2 linked regions of the Pelodiscus sinensis genome follow. The protein of the gene in region 1 purifies or fractionates together with the protein of each later gene. This does not show direct contact. Links are inferred from orthologs where the notes say so. Each region holds a gene or a part of one and is shown in the gene's direction. Other genes may lie near its edges.

Region 1 (10,538 bases):
TTACACAACTTTGTTAGTGAACTTCTCAAATGCAGTATGTTCATCTTTTGTGACTTCTCATATGTCTGGTACTTCTAGTCCTTCACCTGATGTTCATTGATTCATTCACACAATCAGCTAAAGGCAACTGCTTTTAGAACAAAAATTATACTTGATGACCCCCCAAAAAGTTCAAGTGTAGCTGTTGGAAGCAGTGAGAGATGAATTCCTACTTCTGTCATCCCAGGAAACATCACAAAGAGCAGGTCAAGCTGTTAGTGATGATAAAACAAAGGAAGCAGAAGTCAAATCTTTATTTGTTATATGATATTCCACTCTGTATTCAAATTCCCTGTCCTGATCACATAATAGCTCTACTGCTGGTAATGCTTCACTCCACGCAACTGGAGGTGTTTTATAAAACAGGTATATGTAACAGCTACATAGAGGTTCATTAGACTCCAGAAGTCACTGCTAATGATTATTTCAAATCAAGTCTGTGTACATTTTCAGCTGGCTTTAAAACAATGTTTCTTGTCCCCTTCACTTAAGGATTCAAGTGTCTTCAGTCCAGACCTAATGAAGTCTTTGATTCTTCCCATTTGTTTTCAATGGATATTCCTCCGATTATCCAGCAACAAAACCTGCACTTGCATAAAAAAAAAATCTACTACTGTTGAGCATAAGCATAAGCTCTTTTCCATGAGATACACCAGTCTTTTGTAACTTCAAGAAATGGGAAAATTTTGACATGCAGTAACCAGGAACTATAGTTAGGTTGTAGAGACACTTTTTCTTCAGATGTAACTGTGCTGTGGGCTGTTTAGATGTATATATACCACTTGAAACTTGATGTGACATGTACGCATATTCTTGCTTCTTAGTATGTTTTTCATCTTGATTATTTTTTAGGCTTTTGAGTAGAAAAATTGTTTAGCTTTTTTAAGCGTTTTATCTTCACTTTGACCTGAAACACACAGAATATAAATAAAATGTAAGTTTTATTAGGATAATGCAAATTGAACATAACAATACAAATTTCACTAAAACATAATAGTTTTTAGATTTCTAAGCTATATCATAACTGTATTTAATGTAAATGACTTTTGAAATAATTTATAGTGTAAAAATAAAAATGTTTAATACAGAAACTCCTCAAGATAATGACTTCTTGAGATAACAATGGTGCATTTTAAAAATCTTTGTCCCCTGGGAAACACATTTATACAAGTTTCCCTGCCAGAAATCTAACATTCTGGAGCAAAGTCACTAAAATATAGTTCAACAAACAAATGTTCCTTTAACATTCCCCTTCCCACTCATAATCCTTGGTCAGTGGGGACCCAGAGTTCAAAGGTATTTTTGCCTGAGTTCATCTTCCACCTTGGAGAATCAGGGTTGAAGAGAAGGGTAGAAGACACTTTGGTTCATTGTTCCAACTGCTGCTCAATGTTCCTTCTCATTTTTTTCTTCCATGTACTGATTACATTTTATTATGTGCACCAAGGCATATGCATATGTGCACCATCAGTAGTAATCCATGCTGCTAGCTGTGGGTGCTCTGCTAGTCAATTGGGCAGCAGTAGAATCTCTCCTGGGTAGCCACTCAAAGGCTCAGCTTACAGGGAACTTACTGCTGTTGTTCATTGTGCCACTGTTCCATCATCTACTTAATTGTCAATGGCTCTGCACCAGAATTCCCTCTAACATTTTCTTTCCTTGGGCAGCTTGAATTTTCTTATGTACAACACCAATATTGAGGTAGTGTATGGATGTGCACCACCATTACAAACAAAACACATACATTACAAATATATATATTTTAAGCAGTCCATATGTATGGAAGAAAGATATATTAAAACAAGACACCTGTGTCTAGTTGCTGTAAGGTACCCTTAATGACTACAAAGGTTCTGTACAAAGGTAGGAAATTAACACATGGCTTCAGAGTTTGTAGACAGATGCATGTTTCAAAAAGCTTGCAAATAAGGTTTCATTCTACAAAACTAGCATCACACCTAGTACTTTTTATTTCTGATTCATAAGAGTCAAAACTCTACCACATAGCAAAGATCTGACCTTAATGCAATACAATCTACCATGTATTAATTAGTAAGCAATACAATCTACCATGTATTAATTAGTAAGCAATACAATCTACCATGTATTAATTAATGCAATACAATCTACCATGTATTAATTAGTAACACAGGATTTTAAAAAAACATTAAGATCCGAATTTTAGATAGATGCAACACTCCAAAAAAAGTGTTAAAAATCTCTTTCTTACCTTGAGCCATTAACACCTCTGTAAACTTTGTTTGAAATGTAATCATGAAAATGTTCTCCTGGCACACAACCCCTGCCATGTAGCCTGCTTTCCCCCACTCCCTCCAACCCAGCCAGAAAGGACTGCTGCAAGTAAATCAGGACACCCTAACAAACTGCCCCCTACCTCCATCTACCTGCACAGATGCCAGCACCCACCAGCCTCTCTTCCCCCACCTACCCCATGCAGTCATTCCCTTACCTCCCCCTTCCCAGCCCAGGAGGATTGAACAGAGTGCTGGGTTTCTGCCTTTGTCTTCCTTTCTCTCTCTTTCTTTCCCTCCTGGGGCAGACAGGACTCTCAAAACTCCCGCTCCCCCAAGCAAATTAATTAATTATTCCCTCCCCCAAGACAGGTGTGTCCTGCTTATCTGCTCTGGGAGTTCTTCTGTTCAGCATGCAGCAGCTCTGTTTAGCTGCTGCTTAGAGACACCCCACTACCCCCCTGCCAGTCAGCTGATCTCCCTGCCTGTGCAGGAGCTGTGAACCTCTGAGGGGGCTCAGAAAATAGCTGTGCAGTCATGCAGCTTAGAGGGAACTTAGCCTTGCACTATTACCTTCTGCTGCCACATGCCTCGCTCCTGTGACCTCTGTGAGTTGGGCATGTCTTCACTACCTACTGGATCGATGGGCAGCAATCAATCCAGCGAGAGTCAATTTATTGTGTCTAGTATAGATGTGATAAATCGACCAATGAGCATTTTCCTGTCAAATCTGGTACTCTACCAAAATGAGAAGAGTAGGCAGAGTTGATAAGAGAGTGTCAGCTGTCATCTTACCGCAGTAAACAGATCTAAGTACATTGATTTCAGCTATATTATTCACATAGCTGAAGTTGTGTCACTTGGGTCGATGGCCTGCAGTAGTATACACAAGACATTGGTCTCTTGCGGTACCAGCCAGCTCTCAACGATTTCAGCTCAGAGTGGGAAAACCTCCCTGCTAGTGCAGTCTAGGCAGAGTCTTCCACAGAAACATTATTTCATGGAAGGTCTAAGCACTTATATCTGTTTATCAGCTCTAGTGTCCCTTAACAAAACAAAAGCTTCTCAATGGAGCCCAATCAACTCTATCTTTAAACAGAAGAGAGGCAGATCAAATGATACCTATGACTCTTAGGCAGGGCCCATACTACTAGCCAAAACAACAGTCCTCACTCTCCACTGGAATCTGGCATCTGAACTCTTTACTTGGTGATTTCAAAAACAAAGACCCCTATGGCACCTTAGATACTATCTGATTTATTAGGGCATAAGCTATCATGGGTAAAACTCACTTCATCAGATGAACTAGAGTGGAAATTACAGAAGCAGAAGTTGAGACTGGCCCCTTAATCAGGGCAGGCTAAGTACAAATTTTCTGCCCTTTACTCATACAATAGGGATAACAACATTTCATTATCCCTACCTTCAATTTAATTTTTTTATTAAAGTTAACATTAAAATGATCTAATATACAGACAAGAAAAGCTTTTTATACATATGGGTACAATACTTAAATTATCCAAAAGTATAAAATTTGGTTTGAAAAGTCTTAAAGTAAATAAAGTACATGATCTGCAACATCCCAAGTTAAAGTTAATTTAATATTACAGTTTAAATACTATCATCCAAATATTTGGCTATATCACACATAAAAAGTTAAATGAAGTGCAGCTTGTGGAAAGCAAAAGGTAATTTGTAACCTAACAACAGCCAAAATTGATTATGTGGGCAACACAACTAGTCTGCTGGATACATAGGCAAAGTAGGTGCATTTATGTAAATACAGTCAGGTCCTGAAGATCAGTGGAGAGCTCATTAAGACCTCAATTTCAAACTGTTATCTACATAAGACTGGCCATACTGGGTCAGATCAAAACTCCAACTAGCCTAGTATCCTGTCTGCCAACAGTGGCCAATGTCAGATGCCCCAGAGGGAAAGAACACAACAGGCAATCATCTCGTGATCCCTCTCCTGTCATCCATTTCCAGATGAACAGAGGCAAGGGACACCATTCCTACCCATCCTGGCGAATAGATTCATGGAGGATAGACCCGTCCATGACTATCTAGCTCTTTTTTGACCTTGCAATTCTTTTTGAATTTGTAAGCATTAGGTCAGCCAACATTGCCGAAATGAATGTGCCAACACAGTCATAACTCACACAGTTGTGTGAGGAAGCTAGTCCTTCATACTATCCAAACCTATGAGGGTTATCGAACTCTTGCTACACCGGTTATGACCACCACACAGAAGCAGGGCTCATGTACCAACAGCACCTTCCTACGACCAATAAGAATCAGTCACTGCATCGAGAAGGCCGCCAGAGCCATGAGCAAAGGCTGAGAACATGCTGAAGGATGCTGGGCGTTGTTTCCAAGCTCCCACTCCCCTTCACTACAGTCAGGCCCATGTACAGCCCAGCGGCTGCCCCAATCTCAGTGCCCCACAGGCAGCGCTGCCACAAAGCAACTGTCACCGGCCCACATCATTCCCGGAGGAGGCGGGATTAGGGCAGCAGTCAGGGCTACAGAGCCCCTGCCCTGAGCAGACACATGGCCGAGCCAGGAAATGGCTGGATGCCCCCATGCTGAGAGCAGACCTCAGCTGCCCCTCACACTCTCACCTGACCCTTTCCACACTGCTGTATAGTAGAGGGTGGAGCGGCACTCCCTTACATTGTGAGTGGTTAACTTAACTGTCAATCAAATTAATGCCTGACTTGCAAAGCCTGTCACCTGCCCTATTATGGTGGGGAGGGGGTAAAAGGAGAGAGGCAGGTATCTCCCTTACTGTGAGTGAAAAACAGGACTATGTAGCACTTATAGACTAACAAGATGGTTTATTAGGTGATGAGCTTTTGTGGGCCAGACCCATTTCCTCAGATCAAATTGTGGAAGAAAATAGGCATGACCATATATACCCGTGGTCCCCAATGCGGTGCCCGCAAGCACCATGGCGCCCACCGACCCATTTCTGTGCACCTGTCAAATGATCGGGGCCGAACCCGCCCCCAGGCGCTCAGCACATGGTCAGTGCCGGCCCTGGGCGCGCGGCGGTTAGGCGGCCCCACCCCCGGGGGCGCGGGAGAGGTCAGTGCTGGCCCCGGCCCTGGGCGTTTGGCGCATGGGTGGCACCAGCTCCAGGCATGCAGCATATGGGCGGCCCCGCCCCCGCGTGCCCGGCATGTGAGCAGCCCCGGCCCTGGGCGCCCGGCAGCCCCAAAAGGTTGGGGACACTGAACGGGCTACAGTCACAAAAAGTGAGCACGTATGAAAAGGGCCTTTTCTGCTCATGCCAATTCTCTTCCACTAGTTGATCTGAGGAAGCGGGTCTGGCCCACGCAAGCTCATCGCCTAATGAACCATCTTGCCAGTCTCTAAAGCAGGGGTCCCCAACCTGTGGTGGTGGCCGGGCGCCAGGGGGCGGGGACGGGGCCCCCCATAGCCGCGCGCCCCCCCCCCATAGCTGCGCCCGGGGCCGGCGCCCCCCGCCCCAAGCGCCACGCGCCCGGGGCCAGGCCAGCCCCGAACACGTGGCGGGCGCACACGAATGCCCCCGCCCGCGGGCACCGTGTTGGGACCACGGCTCTAAGGTGCTGCATGGGCCTCTCTTTTGTTTCCGCTACACCAGCCTAACTCGGCTGCATCTCTATCGCTACTGTGAGTGGTCACATCAGCTGTCATTTATGAGACAATCCCATTTCCTGCTGCAGAGACCCCGCCCAGGCGGTAGTGACTGGCTGTGCGGAGATCCCTCACAGTTTAAACGGCCACGTCGGGTGTCATTCAAAGAAAAGCACCGCCTCCTTCTCAGGGGCGGGCTGTAAGTTCCGGGGCAGTGGCGTACTGCGAAGAGGTGAAAGGGGACCACTATGAGTGGTCGGATTTCCTGTCACTCAGAGAAAAACCCCGCCCCTCATCCCACGGAACGACCGGACGGGCGCTCTGTGAGTGGCTGGCGGGGCTGTCAGTCAGCAGATCCAAGGGGCGGGATTTGTGGCCTGGGTGTGGGAGGCCGGCGGCGCTCGGCTCAGTCTCCCAGCTGCGGCGGTGCGGGATGGGGCGGGCCGGGATGCTGCTCGGGGCCCTGGCGGCGTTCCTGGCTGGTAGGGGGCAGAGCGCGGGGCCCAGGGCCGTTGGCGCGGCACGCGGGGCGGTAGCGCTGGGGAACAGCGGGAGGCGGGTTCGGGGCCCGGCGCTGCCGGTTCTTGTGCCCCGCTGGCTGCGGCGCCGCCCCCGTGACTCCCCTCGGAGCCGGCGGCGGCTCTTCCCGGGGCGAGCCGGGCGGCTCCTCGCGCGTGACCCGGCCGCGGGTGCCTGCAGCCGAGCCTGGCGGTGCCGCCGAGCGCGCTCGGGCAGCCGCATCGGCACCCCGGCCCTGGGGGTTCTCGCGGTCCCCAGGTGCTTCGTGCCTCGCCCGCGTTAGGAATTGATGCCCGAGCTATGCCCAGCCCTTCTCTACAGCCGCGGTTGGGAGCCGTCCCCGCGCTCCTCGGAGGTGCTGCGCTTGGGCTTTCCAAGGGACTTGGCTCAAAAAGTGCCCTCGGTATGGGACACGGACCGTCTCTCTTCACACAGCTGCCCTTGAGGGCCGCAAGTTGAGACGTCAGTGTTATAGGCGTGACCCCAAGTGTTAATGCTAGAAATTTCTGGCCTAGCGAAGAGTTTCCTCTTAACCCAGAAAGTGACTCTTTGTGATTACATTACCCCTTGGATGTTCAGATAGAAATATGCTTGATGACTTGCAACCCACAGCTGTGTTGCAGGTTTAACTGACTGCTTAGCTCAATGAGTCATTTTGGTCAAATGATTATAGCATAGCTGGAAAAACGGTTGGATCCCGAAATGCAGTTTTTGTTTCACTGTGACCTTGAACAAGTTACTTAACTAATTTGTGCCTGACAACCTGGCAAGGAAAATAGAGCTTTTTCTTTTTAAAAAAAATCCAATGTCACATAGCATATCTAAGCCAAATTGCACAAAGTAAATTGTGTGAATGTCTGGTAGCTTGAAAAGTAGAGATGTGACTGGGTAACAGTAAGCTGGTTCCCAGGAGCAGCCCCTTTTCCCCTCCAGCCTCCCTGAAACCTGCTGCCGCTGGAAGGCTGCTCTAACCCCAGCACAGCCAGCGTGTTGTGGCTGGGGCCAGGAGTCAGTGCTTAGTTAGTTAACCTAATGTTTAATCAATTAGCTGATTGATCAAGATTTTACATGCCTATTGTAAAGTAGTAAATAAACATATTTAAGTCAACAGGCTACCAATATTATTATTGTTAACCTGACTATAGTTTGCCCCATCTCATTGACCCAGGAAAATAGTCCCTAGGAAGGAGGGTTGCTACTCAACTAAAACTGCAGCTGCTCAGCAAGATGAGCTGCTATCAATAAAAAAATGCATTTGACAAATGTCTGTAGATTGACCTGTTCCTTTGTTCTTCTGCCTGTGTCATTGTTTTGAAGGCAACAATGTGAAATTTTTGTTTGAATTAGGTGCACATCCTTGAATCACACTGTTCTGTTGGTGTATATATCATAATATGGCATGTATTTACTGTCAACACTCACATAGAATTTGATTCTGAACTAGGTTTTGGAGCATACCCTCCCCCTACCCACAAGGTCAAAATGGTATACCTAATTGAATAATTTAGCAATAGAGTCTCTTTTATGCATTTGTGTCTTCACTTTGTTTGATACCTTAATTTATCTATACACAACTCTATACTGGAATTTTCCATGGTGTCCTGATACCTGAAATTAATGACTCTCTTTAGCTGTCTCTCTTAACTTGGTAGATATGTGCATTGGAAGGCTGAAAATCAGAAAGAGTTTGTTACAATTCATGTCTGCTCACAAGGTTTTAAGAAACACATGCTTTACTCACGCATCTGACAAAGTAGGTCTTTGCCCATAAAAGCTTATGGCCAAATAAATCTGTTTAATCTTTAAAGTGCCACAGGACTCCTTATTGTTTTTGCAGGAACAGACTAACATTGCTGTCCTTCTGATACATGCTTTACCAGACTTGCCTGTCTATTATTTCTCTTTTTAGGTGTTTCCGGTGATGAATTTAGTGTCTTACGATCACCACAATCTGTCATTTTCCGAGATGGAAGTTGGCCAATACCAGGGGAGCGGATCCCAGACATAGCAGCATTATCCATGGGCTTTTCTGTTGAAGAAGTATGTTTATTTTTATTTTGAAAAAGCTGTAAAATTCACATTAGTTGGTTTGGAGAGCTTTGAATTATAGTTGTGCACAGATTTTTTTTTTTAAATGTGGTAGAAATAAAGTAGGAACTAGTAAGACGGACTAAGAGGAAATTCAGAAACCTCGGGAATCTAACTCGTGGTCTCCCTCTTCTCCAACGAAACTGTTATTAACGGCCTAACTGCAATATAAATGTTTAACAATAAAATGTCTACTGGGCCATTTGTGTTCTGTCTTTTGGACTATGAAAACACCCTGTTGACACTTGCTATCTTGAAATTAAGAGCAGAACTTATATAGAATAGTTCTGGTAATTTAATCCATTACACTGATTAGGGTTGATCATGTACTCTGCGTGCTGAATGTCTGCTTGAGGCACAAGGTAAAATCAAATGCTCTTTGGCAAAAGAGGCATCTTGATTTTTCACACGCTGCTCTTCCTGGGGTATCTGGGATATGAAATGGGAAAATGTATACTCTTTGTGGCAGTCTGTTCTTTCTTCTAAGGTTGGTATTCCCCCCCCCCCCCCCCTTAACTGTGAGGTCCCTTGGATCCACCCAAAATTGGCTGCCCCTTGTTTCCCTTCCTACAAAGAACAGAATGTCAAGAATGGGGAAGGAGAACTCTCCAAATCCTCTTCTCAGAAAAACAAATACACGGAGTGAAAGTAGATATCAATATAGTAATTAGGCCTTTGATCGATCTATCTTGAATGTCAGAATCATTAACCTTTTATTGTTTATAGTTGTATCAGAAACATCATGGCAATGTATTTTCCTTTGTGACTAGATATTATTCAATCACAAACATGTATTTGAGTAAAAATATTCCTCCAGCAAGGTGCATTCTAGAGAAGCCTACAGAGTTCTTCAAATCATGGGAAGTTGCTTTTAATATCACTACTGTAGTAAATGGACTTGTTCAGTGAATCTTGTGGAATTTAACAGTTTTGGCTGTGAAATCTGATTTAGTAGCTACAAAGCAGTTAAGTCAACATTGCACAGTATGTGAACGGCGCTTTTTCTTACAGTAAAGTTGTGGAGGGCTTTCTCATACGGAATTAATGAAGAAACATCCTGGGGGGGACCACAATTTTTTGTGGGGTGAAGAATCGTTTCAAATGTTTAGATTCCCTACTAAGTTTCCAGTGGGTTTTCCAATCAAGAGTCATATACCACTGCAGATTCTCTGCATTAATCTTTTGATATTGTTTGAGCTGTTTCTTTTTCCTTTGATTTAAAAGCTAAACAAAAGTTTTTGCTTTAAAATTTGTTTCCAGGATCTTTCCTGGCCTGGGCTTGCAGTGGGTGATATATTCCATCGTCCTCGCGCTACTGTTCTTGTGACTGTAAAGGGAGTAGACAAGCTGGTGATGCCTAAAGATGGAGTTTCTTATCCTGTTGAGAATGTAAGTATCTGCAGTTTTTTTATTTTTATCCCTCTGTTGTTTATACTTCTGTTCATATTGAAAGTATTCCTTGGTGTTCAAAAAACCCTCCAAAAACTAACTTTTCACCAGTTACGCTTTTTATGTCAGTCACATAGCTTTTCATGGATTCAGAGAATTAAGACCAGGAGGGACCATTAGATTGAATCTGACTTCCTGGATATCACAGTAAACTTCACTGAGTTATCTTGGCGTTGAGTTGAATAACTTGTTTGACTAAAGCATGTCTTCCAGAAAAGCATCTAGGTTTGTTCTGATGACATCAGGAAATGAAAGATCCACTACTACTATTAGTAGTTTGTTCCAATGTTAAAATTGCCCTCGCTGTTAAAAAATTGTCTCATTTCCAGCTTGAATTTGCCTGACTTCAGCCTCCAACCATTGGCTCTTGTGCTTTCCTCTGCTAGGTTAGAGCCCTTTAACATACCTGATGTCTTCTCCATGTGAAAATACTTAAACTGGGTACTTAAGTCACCTTTCAATTTTTTTGATAAATTAAACAGGTTCCCTTTAAATCTTTAACTACCGTATTTTCCGGCGTATAGGGCGACTGGGTGTATAAGACGACCCCCTATCTTTTTAATTAAA
Region 2 (9,816 bases), about 150 Mb from region 1:
AAAGATTCTTCAAGGAGTTTCCCTGTGGGTGCTCCACCTTGAGTGTCTGGAGCGCCACTGTGTCTCTAGTCAGAGAATTTAGCTAGAAGTACCCTTGGCAGGCTGCACATGCAGGCAGCCAGCACACATTGCTGTGGCTACTTTGCCTGCGCAACCAACCATCCCTCCAGTTCCTTCTCTGCCACCACCAGCTTCAGTCAGACCCGATAGCTGCCCTCCAGATATTTTTCAGATTTTATTAGATAGAGTTAGATAGTGGTGTTAGTTGTTGTTGTTTGTTAGACTGTTTAACTGTTCTAGTTAATTTTTTTAAAGTTTTTTCTTTATTAGTTTGGACCTTTTCCCCTTTTTTCTGTTTTTTCTTCCTGGGATGCCTGGTTCCCCAGGTTTCAAATGCTGCCTGTCCTGCAAGCTTTCCATATCCATTTCAGACAAGATACAATTGTCTACAGTGTGAACATTGTAAGCAGCTCATAGCACATGCAAGAAAGGGCCAGGGAGCTCCAGGTGGAGTTGCTCCTATTGGAAAACACTATACGACCAGCATCTGATCCTGAACACTCAACACCACCCAGGCAGCCATCCCTGTTGGCAGTGTCAGAAAAACCAGCTCCCTAAGGATTAAGCACCAGGGACTCTGCATTGGAGCAGCAATCCAAGAAGCCAGCCCATTCAACTTCCAGAGGTGACTCCCCCTCAAAAAAGTGGGCATCACCTCAAAAAATGCTTTTGGTACCAGCAGAACCTAAGGCTCTGGAGTGAGAGGCACCAGGACCATCAGGCACTGACATGTCCCAAGGGGCTAAGAACCCTACTAGGGCCAGCTCTAAGGTACCGAGCAAGTCAAAGTTTAAGTTGGCACTGCCGATACCTTAATAATCTTCATGGGCACCAAAAAAGCTGTGCTCCAGCTCAGTACCAAGCACTTTCATGCTGCCCCTAGCAGTGAAGAAACACAAGCACTCAGCACCAATGGCATAGCAAGCCCCATCAGCACTGGCACCATCTCCAGCATCGACAACTGCAGGACCAGCGAGGAACTACAAGTCACCTCGGTACCAAGCACACTGGTATGACTTTGTCAAAGTCATTCTCTGTCCATATCCCAAATTCCTCATGAAGGTCCCAACTCCCTTCCATTGTAATGAACCCATTTACTTACATGTCTTCTTCCTGAAACCCCATGCAGATACAGGTAGTGCCCAAGGTACGAATGCATCGATTTATGACCATTCGTCCTTATGACCAACCTCCCATTAAGCGCAGCCCCGAGTTACGAACACAATCCGTGCTTATGAACAGCGTGGTCCCATTGAAATGAATGGGGTCCTACTTACGAACAGATTGAGTTACAACCAAATGCTTGGTACGTAACTAATTCGTAAGTCAGGGACTATTGGTAGCGGAGAGGCTGCTCTACCCACACTGGATGTCTACAAGGCAGTCACATTTTATTTAGATAGAAGTAGACAGATATGCAACTCACCAAGATTATTTGTATCAATTATGGAAAGATCGAGGGGCATGCCAGTTTCCAAAAAGAGGCTGTCCAGATGGAGCTCTGACTGTATAAGAGTGGCTTACCGTACCTTCAGGCAGGACCCTCCGCTACAGCTACATGCTCTTTCCACAAGAGCAATGGCAACCTCTACAGCATACCTGAACAAAACATCTCTGACAGACATTTGTAGAGCTGCCACTTGAAACTTACCTATCACATAGCACTCACTTCAACCAGACAATACTAGCCACCATACATGATAGCGATGAACTGAAGCTCCCTCCTCCGAGTACAAGTACTGCTTCATAGTGATATCAGATGAAGCTCCCACGGGGACGTTCCTCAAAGAAAAACTGAAATTCTTCAAAATGGTTGTGTAAGCGGGGGAATGGTCCCGCTCTTGTGGGGAACTTTCCTGGCTTCTATACACCCCGGTGAAATGAAGCAGCGAAAGGATCTGAGTCCCCGCTCCCACTTCCTTTACCCCACGGTTCCCTGATCCTGAGGGCTCCCCCTCCACTCTCCTGAGTAGCAGAGCCCTTGAAACCCCAACAAGGCTGGGCCCAGGTTTCCTGGGGCTTAATCCCTGACCTTGTAGTCACTAGGGGCTGGAGTTAGGGTGTCCCCACTCCGAGGTGCTCTCTTTACACTGCAGGCCTTCTTGGCCCAGTGATCACTTCATAAGGTTCAAAGCAAATACAATTTATTAAACATCAACTGATTAAAGAGAATAGAATAAGAAACAATGAGAATGGTTAAATGAGAACACACAGCCCTGCTCTGTAGCACAGGGACATCAACACAGCAGTCTGCAGAGTGTAAGGACAGTTCACAGTCTCTTCCTTAGAAGCCCTGGATGTGCTGCAAGGGGCTGCAGGCTGGACACGCTTGCACTGGCAGTGACCACACAGCCTCAGTCTCTAAGTGGCCAGACCCCTCTCCCAGTCCAGAGCCTTTCCCCACACTTTGCAGGTCCCAGTAGCTCACCACATCCAGCTGCAGGCTGTGCTGCTTGGCCAGTTCCAGCTCCTTGTGTTGTTTCTCTGTTCCTTTTGGCTTTCTGAGCACTGCCAGTCTGCTGCTCAACACAGGGTCTGCACTGCTTGGCCTGTCTGTGTCTGGTTCTGTCACTGCAGGACTTCTTCTTGTACTCCTCTTTCAGCTCTCTGTCTTTGCAGGACCTCTTCTGCACACAGCTTGTTTGTTCAGAGACAGAGCCAGAACAATCCCCACTTACAACCTGTCAGTCAGGCTGAGCTGGAGTGTTGACTGCTTTCCATTGTCTCTGGGGTCTGTCAGTCTCATGAACCCTTCCCCTTCTGAAGCTGGTAAACCAAAAACTCCCACAGAGTTTTAGTAAGGGGTAACAGTCCCCTTACAGTTGTCTTTGTGGGTGCTCCATCACTTGCCCTTCTTCCCCTCTGCTGCACAGTCACCAATTTCTGTGGCAGACAGGGAACTGAAGGGACAGTTGGCTGCGCATGCAGAGTAGCTGCACTAGTACATGCTGGCTGCCCTGCATGAACAGCCTTCCAAGGGCACTGCTACTTAAATTCTCCATCTAAAGGTACAGAGGCACGCCAGACACCTAAGGTGCAACATCCACACAGACAACCATCTTAAAGAACCTTAGGGTACGGCTACACTAGCTCGTTAGTTCGAGGTAGATAGGGTAATGAGGGCAAGCGGAGTTGCAAATGAAGCCCGGAATTTAAATATCCCGGGCTTCATTTGCATGTTCCCGGGCGCCGCCATTTTTAAATCCCCCTTAGTTCGAACTCCGTGCCCACAGCTACACGCAGCACGGACTAGGTAGTTCAAATTAAAGATCCTAATTTGAACTACCGTTACTCCTTGTGGAATGAGGAGTAACGGTAGTTCAAATTAGGATCTTTAATTCGAACTACCTAGTCCATGCCGTGTGTAGCCGCGGGCACGGAGTTCGGACTAAGGGGGATTTAAAAATGGTGGTGCCCGGGAACATGCAAATGAACCTGGGATATTTAAATCCCGAGCTTCATTTGCAACTCCGCTTGCCCTCATTACCCTACCTACCTCGAACTAATGAGCTAGTGTAGATGTACCCTCAGGTACTATACAAGGTGAGTAACTCTCTCTTCTGCCTGGCATGGACAGAGGGAGCGGCTGGGAGTCCCAGCTGGAAGACAGGACCGCAATTGCCTCTGGGAGCCCTTAGTCGGTTGAGTGTGAGGAGGAGGGGAAGCCTCCTCCTCGCTCGTGCCTTTCCCGGACCCTGCGCGGGACAGGCAGCAAGTGCCCAGGTCAGTCCCTCTCCCCGCCTGCCAATTTGCTCAACCCCCACTTCCCAGCCGGCCGGTTCTCCCCCACTTCCCCTCCTGATCTTCCCTGGCCAGCCCCCCTGCAGCTACCCCCCAGCTCTGCTTCCCACCGGCCTGTTCCTCTTCCTGATCTCCCCGCCAGCACCGCTGCACCTCTCCCCACCTCTGGCAGCTGTGCTTCCCACTCCCCCTTCCTCCCGACCACCCTCCCGGCCCCCGATCGCCTCCCCCAGCTCTGTTTCCTGCTGGCCCGTTCCTCTTCCTGATTTCCCCGGCCAGCGCCACTGCACCCGCCCACCGCCAGCTCTGCTTCCCACCCCCACCCTTTCTTCCAGCTACCCTCGTGGCCCCCATCCTCCTCAGCTGTGCTTCCCACCCCCCCTTACTCTTGGCCAGCCCTGGCCCCTCCTGGCTGGTCTCCCCCACCCTCTGATATTCCACGGCCAGCCCTGTTCTGCCCGACTCTCCCCCACAACCAGCCCTGCTTCCCGTTGGCCCCCCCATCTGTTGCCTCCCCCCTTCCCGGCCAGCACTGCTCCCTTCTTGGCTGGTCCCCCCCACCAATGAAGTGGGCCACTGGGGAGGGAGAGGAGAAGGGGGCGGGGCACTGATGAACATGGCCAGGGAGCGGAGCCGTGTACATCACTGCCCCGCCCCCCTTCCCCTCCCGCCCAAACGTTCCCTGCAGCGGCCCAGCTGAGTGCCACTGCGGGAGGGGAAGGGGGGGCGGGGTGGTGACATTCACAGCCACACCCCCTGGCCGTGTACATCAGTGCCCCACCCCCCTTCCCCTCCCACCAGGGCCCAGCTGGAGCGGTGCTTGCCACCGTTTGCTCCCCCGCTGGGGCCCAGCTGAGCAGGGCAGCACTCAGCAGAGCACCCTGGCAGGAGGGGAAGGGGGGCGGGGCGCTGACACACATAGGGCATGGCCGTGTACGTCAGTGTTACAGACTCACAGACACTGGGCTACTATATATGTGATTGGTCTTTGATGTTTATGCTTTTAAAGGCCATACAAATACACAAATTGTTTTTCTCAAATGATGATGAAGTAAAAATACTCTTAATTAAAGGGACTTTGATGAAGCATTAACAAATCATTTGACTCAGGTTTAGGAAGCCCTTTTGTTATTTCAAATTTGGCAAACCAGGCAAGAAGCCCATGTTAGTCACTTGAAGAGAAATATTTTTAAAAAGTGTAGAGGCATTTTTGAATAGCATATTTGTGTCCCATCTGTCTAAGATAAAAAGGTTCTTAAAGAGTTAACAAGCTGAAAAAGGGAAAAGGAAGTTCCTTTCTCACAGGCTGAAAAAGTGAGGTGGAGTTTCCTGTTGAAAGAATTAGGGAAGTTCAGTGAAACATACTATTTCAGCAAGCCAGAACCTGAAGTCTAGACCAGAGAATTCACATAAGAGTTTTGGTAAAGCTGCAAGATAAAAAGCTTCACATTTCCATTTTACCTTCAAGAAAGCTTTCAGGTGTCACAGAAAGAGCAAACTATCTTCCCTTTTCCCTGTGGAAAATCTGCTTCCTGAAGCATGGAAGAAGACTGCTAGTCACCACTCTTGGAAATATCAAATTGTGAGTGTTATTTCTTTCACTTTTACTTCCACTTAGGCCTGGTCTACATTATAGTGGGAGTTCAAATTAGGATACTCAATTCCAGCTATGTTAACTACATAGCTGGAGTTGATGTATTTTAAATCATATTTCCACACCGTTCACACAGCAGGAGGCCGATGAGAGCAAGTGTTCCCATCCGCCAGAGGCGTAGCGAAGAAGGTTGGGGGAGGGCAGTTGCCCCCTGGTGCTACATTAGGGGGCGCTGGGCTGGGAGTGAAGCGCACAGCTGTTCTGGCCCACATGATGCTTTTGAACAGAGACTGAGAGTTGGCTAAGTGCTTCAGGCTCTCTACAGTCTGTGAGCTGAGGCAGAAGGGCCGGGTGACAGCAGCGGCCACTTTAAAGGTTAGATTCCCTTACCCAGCTGTTCCGTTCCTCCTGTGCCTGGCTCTGAGGTGGCTGGGGGAAGGATTTGATGGGGGGAGGGGTGCACCCAGCACTGAGGGGCAGGGGCTCATTCAGGGGAAGGGGTGAGTGCATTCAGATGGGGGCACTGGGAGGTCTGGCTCAGGGGGAGGGGTGAGTGCTTTGGGATGGGACACTGGGGGGGGCTGGCTCTGGGGAGGGGTGAGTGCATTGGGATGGGGGATACTGGGAGGGCTGGCTCAGGGGGAGGGGTGAGTGCTTTGGGATGGGGGGCTGACTCTGTGGGAGGCGTGAGTGCATTGGGATGGGGGGACGCTGATGAGGGGCTGGCTCTGGGGGGAGAGGTGGGTGCATTGGGGTTACTTATAATTTTTTAAAATAAAAGATACTTTGTAACAAAAGTATCAGAGGGGTAGCCGTGTTAGTCTGAAACTGCAAAAGCGACGAGGAGTCCTGTGGCACCTTATAGACTAACTGAAGTGTAAGAGCATAAGCTTTTGTGGGCAAAGACCCACTTCATCAGATGCATGTAGTGGAAATTTCCAGAGGCAGGTATAAATATGCAGGCCAGGATCACGCTGGAGATGACGAGATGGATCCAATCAAGGAGGATGAGGCCCACTTCTAGTAGCTGATCTGGAGGTGTGAATTCCAAGAGAGCAGAAGCTGCTTTTGTAGTTAGCAAGCCATTCACAGTCTTTGTTTAATCAACAGGAATTTTTCCTAATGTCCACTTAAACCGTCCTTGCTGCAATTTAAATCAAATGCTTCTTTTACTATCCTTAGAGGTTAAAGAGAACAATTTTTCTTCCTCCTCCTTGCAACAACTTTTTATGTACTTCTAAACTGATATAATATCCCATTGCAGTCTTCTCTTCTCCAGTCTAAACAAATCCAATTTTTTCAGTTTTTTTTTACAGTCATATTTTACATTCCTTTAATAATTTTGGTTGTTTTTCTATGGACTTTCTCAAATTTATCCACATTTGTCCTGAAATATGGCACCCAGAATTGGACACAGTTGAGGCCATATCAGTGCAGAGTAGAGATGAAGAATTTCTTCTAGTCTCTTGCTTACAACATTCCTGCTAATATATCACAGAATTATATTGGCATTTTTTGCAACAGCGTTACACTGTTGACTCATACTTAACTTGTGATCCACTGTGACCTCCAGATCTCTTTCTGCAATATTCTGTCCGAGGCAGTCATTTCCCATTTTGAATGTGTGCAATTCATTGTTTCTTCCTCAATTGAGTACTTTGCTTTTGTCCTTATTAAATTTCATCCTATTTACTTGAGACCATTTCTCCAGTTTGTCCAGATCATTTATATTTTAATCCAACCTGGGATAGCAGGTATGAGCCAATTTGGCATCATCTATAAATTAATTCTCTATGTCATTTTCTAAACCATTGATGAAGATATTGACCAGCATCAGAACTGATCCTTGTAGGACCCTGTTGATATGCCCTTCTGTCTAGTTATACACACATAAGAACGTAAGTACACAATAATTGACATAGTGAGTCTGACCAAAGGACCTTCTACTCTAGTGTCCTGTCTCGTGACAATGGCTAATGCCAGATGCCCCAAAGGAAATGCACAGAACAGGTAATCATCAAGTGATCCACCCATTCCCAGCTTCTGACAAACAGAGGGTAGGGGCAACATTTCTGCCCATCCTAGTTAATAGCCATTTCTGGACCTACCTTCCACGAGTTCATCATGTTCTTTATTAACCCTGTTAAATTCCTGGCCTTCACAACCTCCTCTGGCAATTACGTCCACATTTTTCCCCTTTTCTGAACTTTTTACAGTGCCAAGATATCTTTTCTGAGATGAGGTAACTACATCTGCATGCAATATTCAAGATATGGACATATCATGGATTTATATAGAGACAATAAAATATTCTCTGTCTTATTTTATAACCCTTTTTAAATTATTCCTAACATTCTGTTTGCTTTTTTGACTGCAGCTGCACATTAAGTTGATATTTTCAGAAAATTACAATGACTCCAAGATCTCTCTCTTGAGTGGTAACAACTAAATTAGTCATTTTATACATATAGTTGCAATTATGTTTTCCAATATGCATTACTTTGCATTATCAACATTAAAATTCATCAGCAATTTTCTTGTCCAGTCACCTACTATTGTGTGATCTTTTTGAAGAGCTTCACAGTCTCCTTTGGAGTTAACTGTCTTGAGCAGTTTAGTATCATCTGCAAATGTTGCCACCTCACTCTTTATCCTATTCTTCAGATCATTTATGAATATGTTGAATAGGATTGGTCCCAGTATGGACCCCTGCAGGACACTGCTAGTTATCGCTCTCCATTCTGAAAACTGACCACTTGTTTCTACCCTTTATTTCCTATCCTTTAACCAGATATGAACTCATGAGATGACCTCTCCTCTCATCCCATGACAGATTACTTTGCTTACAAGCCTTTGGTTAGGGACCTTGTCAAAGACTTTCTGGAAGACTAGGGGACCAGTTCCCACCTGCAATCCCACACTGCCTCTGATAGCGAGTCAGTAGCAGGGAGTGGCAGGGAGCTCCCTGGAAGTGGGGTGGGAAGTACACTGGCTGCCTGCTCCACCCCCAGGGACTAGTGAATAGTCGTGTAACTGCTAAAATTGCATGCAATTACATGACTATTCAATTACATACTAACATCTCTAAGTGTTATGCTCTGGACCCTGGGAGAGCTGAGCTACAGCTGAAGGCAGAGACCTAATCTCCAACAAGAAGCCATTCTCCATAAAATGTGGGGGTCAAGGCTTGGGTGGGAGTGGGGGTGGAGGGGAGTCTTAGCCAATAGGGTTTGTGTGCCCAACATAGCCACAGAAAGTTTAGACTGTAGATGGTAGGACTCTGAAAAGACAAAATAAACAGGCCAAGATCAAGGGTGTAGGTGATTGACACCAAGCTAGAACAATTTATGGCCTTATTACAAGGAGTGCAAGACGGGAAGCACAAGAAGGTCCCAGTTTCCTGGCCGCCACATGGGAGCCACTTCCTCCAGCTAGCTGACTAGGACCCAGTAACACATTAGGTTGGATCCTTAGTATTTGTCAGGCTGAAGTAAAATATTTGACCTATGAAAGCAACCCTCTTGTAATTTAGAATGAAAAGTCATTCTGCTAGCAGGAGGGTTTTGTGTCAGGAAAATCCTTTGATTCTGAATTATCTACTCTTAATATGGAGTTCAGGGAACCTCTGTCCAGAAGACTTTATCCTGAACAGTCCTGCCAGAAGATCGTTTTTTCAGATTAAAGTTCAAGATACCCGGATAAGAATACCTTGATTTGGCAGCAAAAGTAACTCTTGTGACGGAGAAAATATTTGAGTCACCTAGCCTAGAATCAGTAGAGAAAATCATAATCCTTTTGTACAGTCAGCATCACCAGTTATACCCAGAATAAAGTGATTTTGGGATTTGCTGGCTGAAATTAGGTGTTGGTGACATGATTGTAGCACACTCGGTTTGTCACCTGTGTTAAGAATGAGAGCCTACTAGCGTGTCTATAATGTTATTAAAAACCTGCAGCCGATTCAGACTGAGGGTATGTCTACACAACAAAGTTAATTTGAACTAACAGCTGTTAGTTCGAATTAACTTTGATAGGCGCTACACAGGCAAATCGCTAGTTCGAACTTAATTCGAACTAGTGGAGCACTTAATTCAAACTAGGTAAACCTCATTCTACGAGGACTAACGCCTACTTCGAATTAAGTAGTTCGAATTAAGGGCTGTGTAGCCACTTAATTCGAACTAGTGGGAGGCTAGCCCTCCCCAGCTTTCCCTGGTGGCTACTCTGGGCACCACCAGGGAAACTCTTCTGCCCCCCTCCCGGCCCCGGAGCCCTTAAAGGGGCACGGTCTGGCTACGGTGCCCGTGCCAGGTGCAAGCCTGCCAGCATCCAGCCAGCAGACCCTGCATCTGGCACGGCACGAGCCAGCCACCCGCTGCCACCCAGCCCTCCGCCTCTTCCTGGGACCAGGCTGGTGGCTC

The links. The genes of interacting proteins can lie anywhere in the genome.
Region 2: the proteins of ATP6AP2 (region 1) and ATP6AP1 purify together in Homo sapiens (affinity purification with mass spectrometry; 5 studies listed by BioGRID and IntAct, counting the BioPlex papers as one, with this or other methods). This does not show direct contact. The link is inferred for Pelodiscus sinensis from reciprocal best matches to the Homo sapiens genes ATP6AP2 and ATP6AP1.

What each region holds. Positions count from the first base shown.
Region 1 is NC_134711.1:195,337,156-195,347,693, reverse strand, and holds the start of ATP6AP2 (renin receptor), read left to right. Parts: upstream 1-6,243; 5' UTR 6,244-6,348; coding exon 6,349-6,397; intron 6,398-8,343; coding exon 8,344-8,474; intron 8,475-9,782; coding exon 9,783-9,911; intron 9,912-10,538. UniProt on the Homo sapiens protein: Multifunctional protein which functions as a renin, prorenin cellular receptor and is involved in the assembly of the lysosomal proton-transporting V-type ATPase (V-ATPase) and the acidification of the endo-lysosomal system.
Region 2 is NC_134711.1:40,836,264-40,846,079, forward strand, and holds the start of ATP6AP1 (V-type proton ATPase subunit S1), read left to right. Parts: upstream 1-5,121; 5' UTR 5,122-5,383; intron 5,384-5,656; exon of another isoform or gene 5,657-5,770; intron 5,771-9,816. UniProt on the Homo sapiens protein: Accessory subunit of the proton-transporting vacuolar (V)-ATPase protein pump, which is required for luminal acidification of secretory vesicles.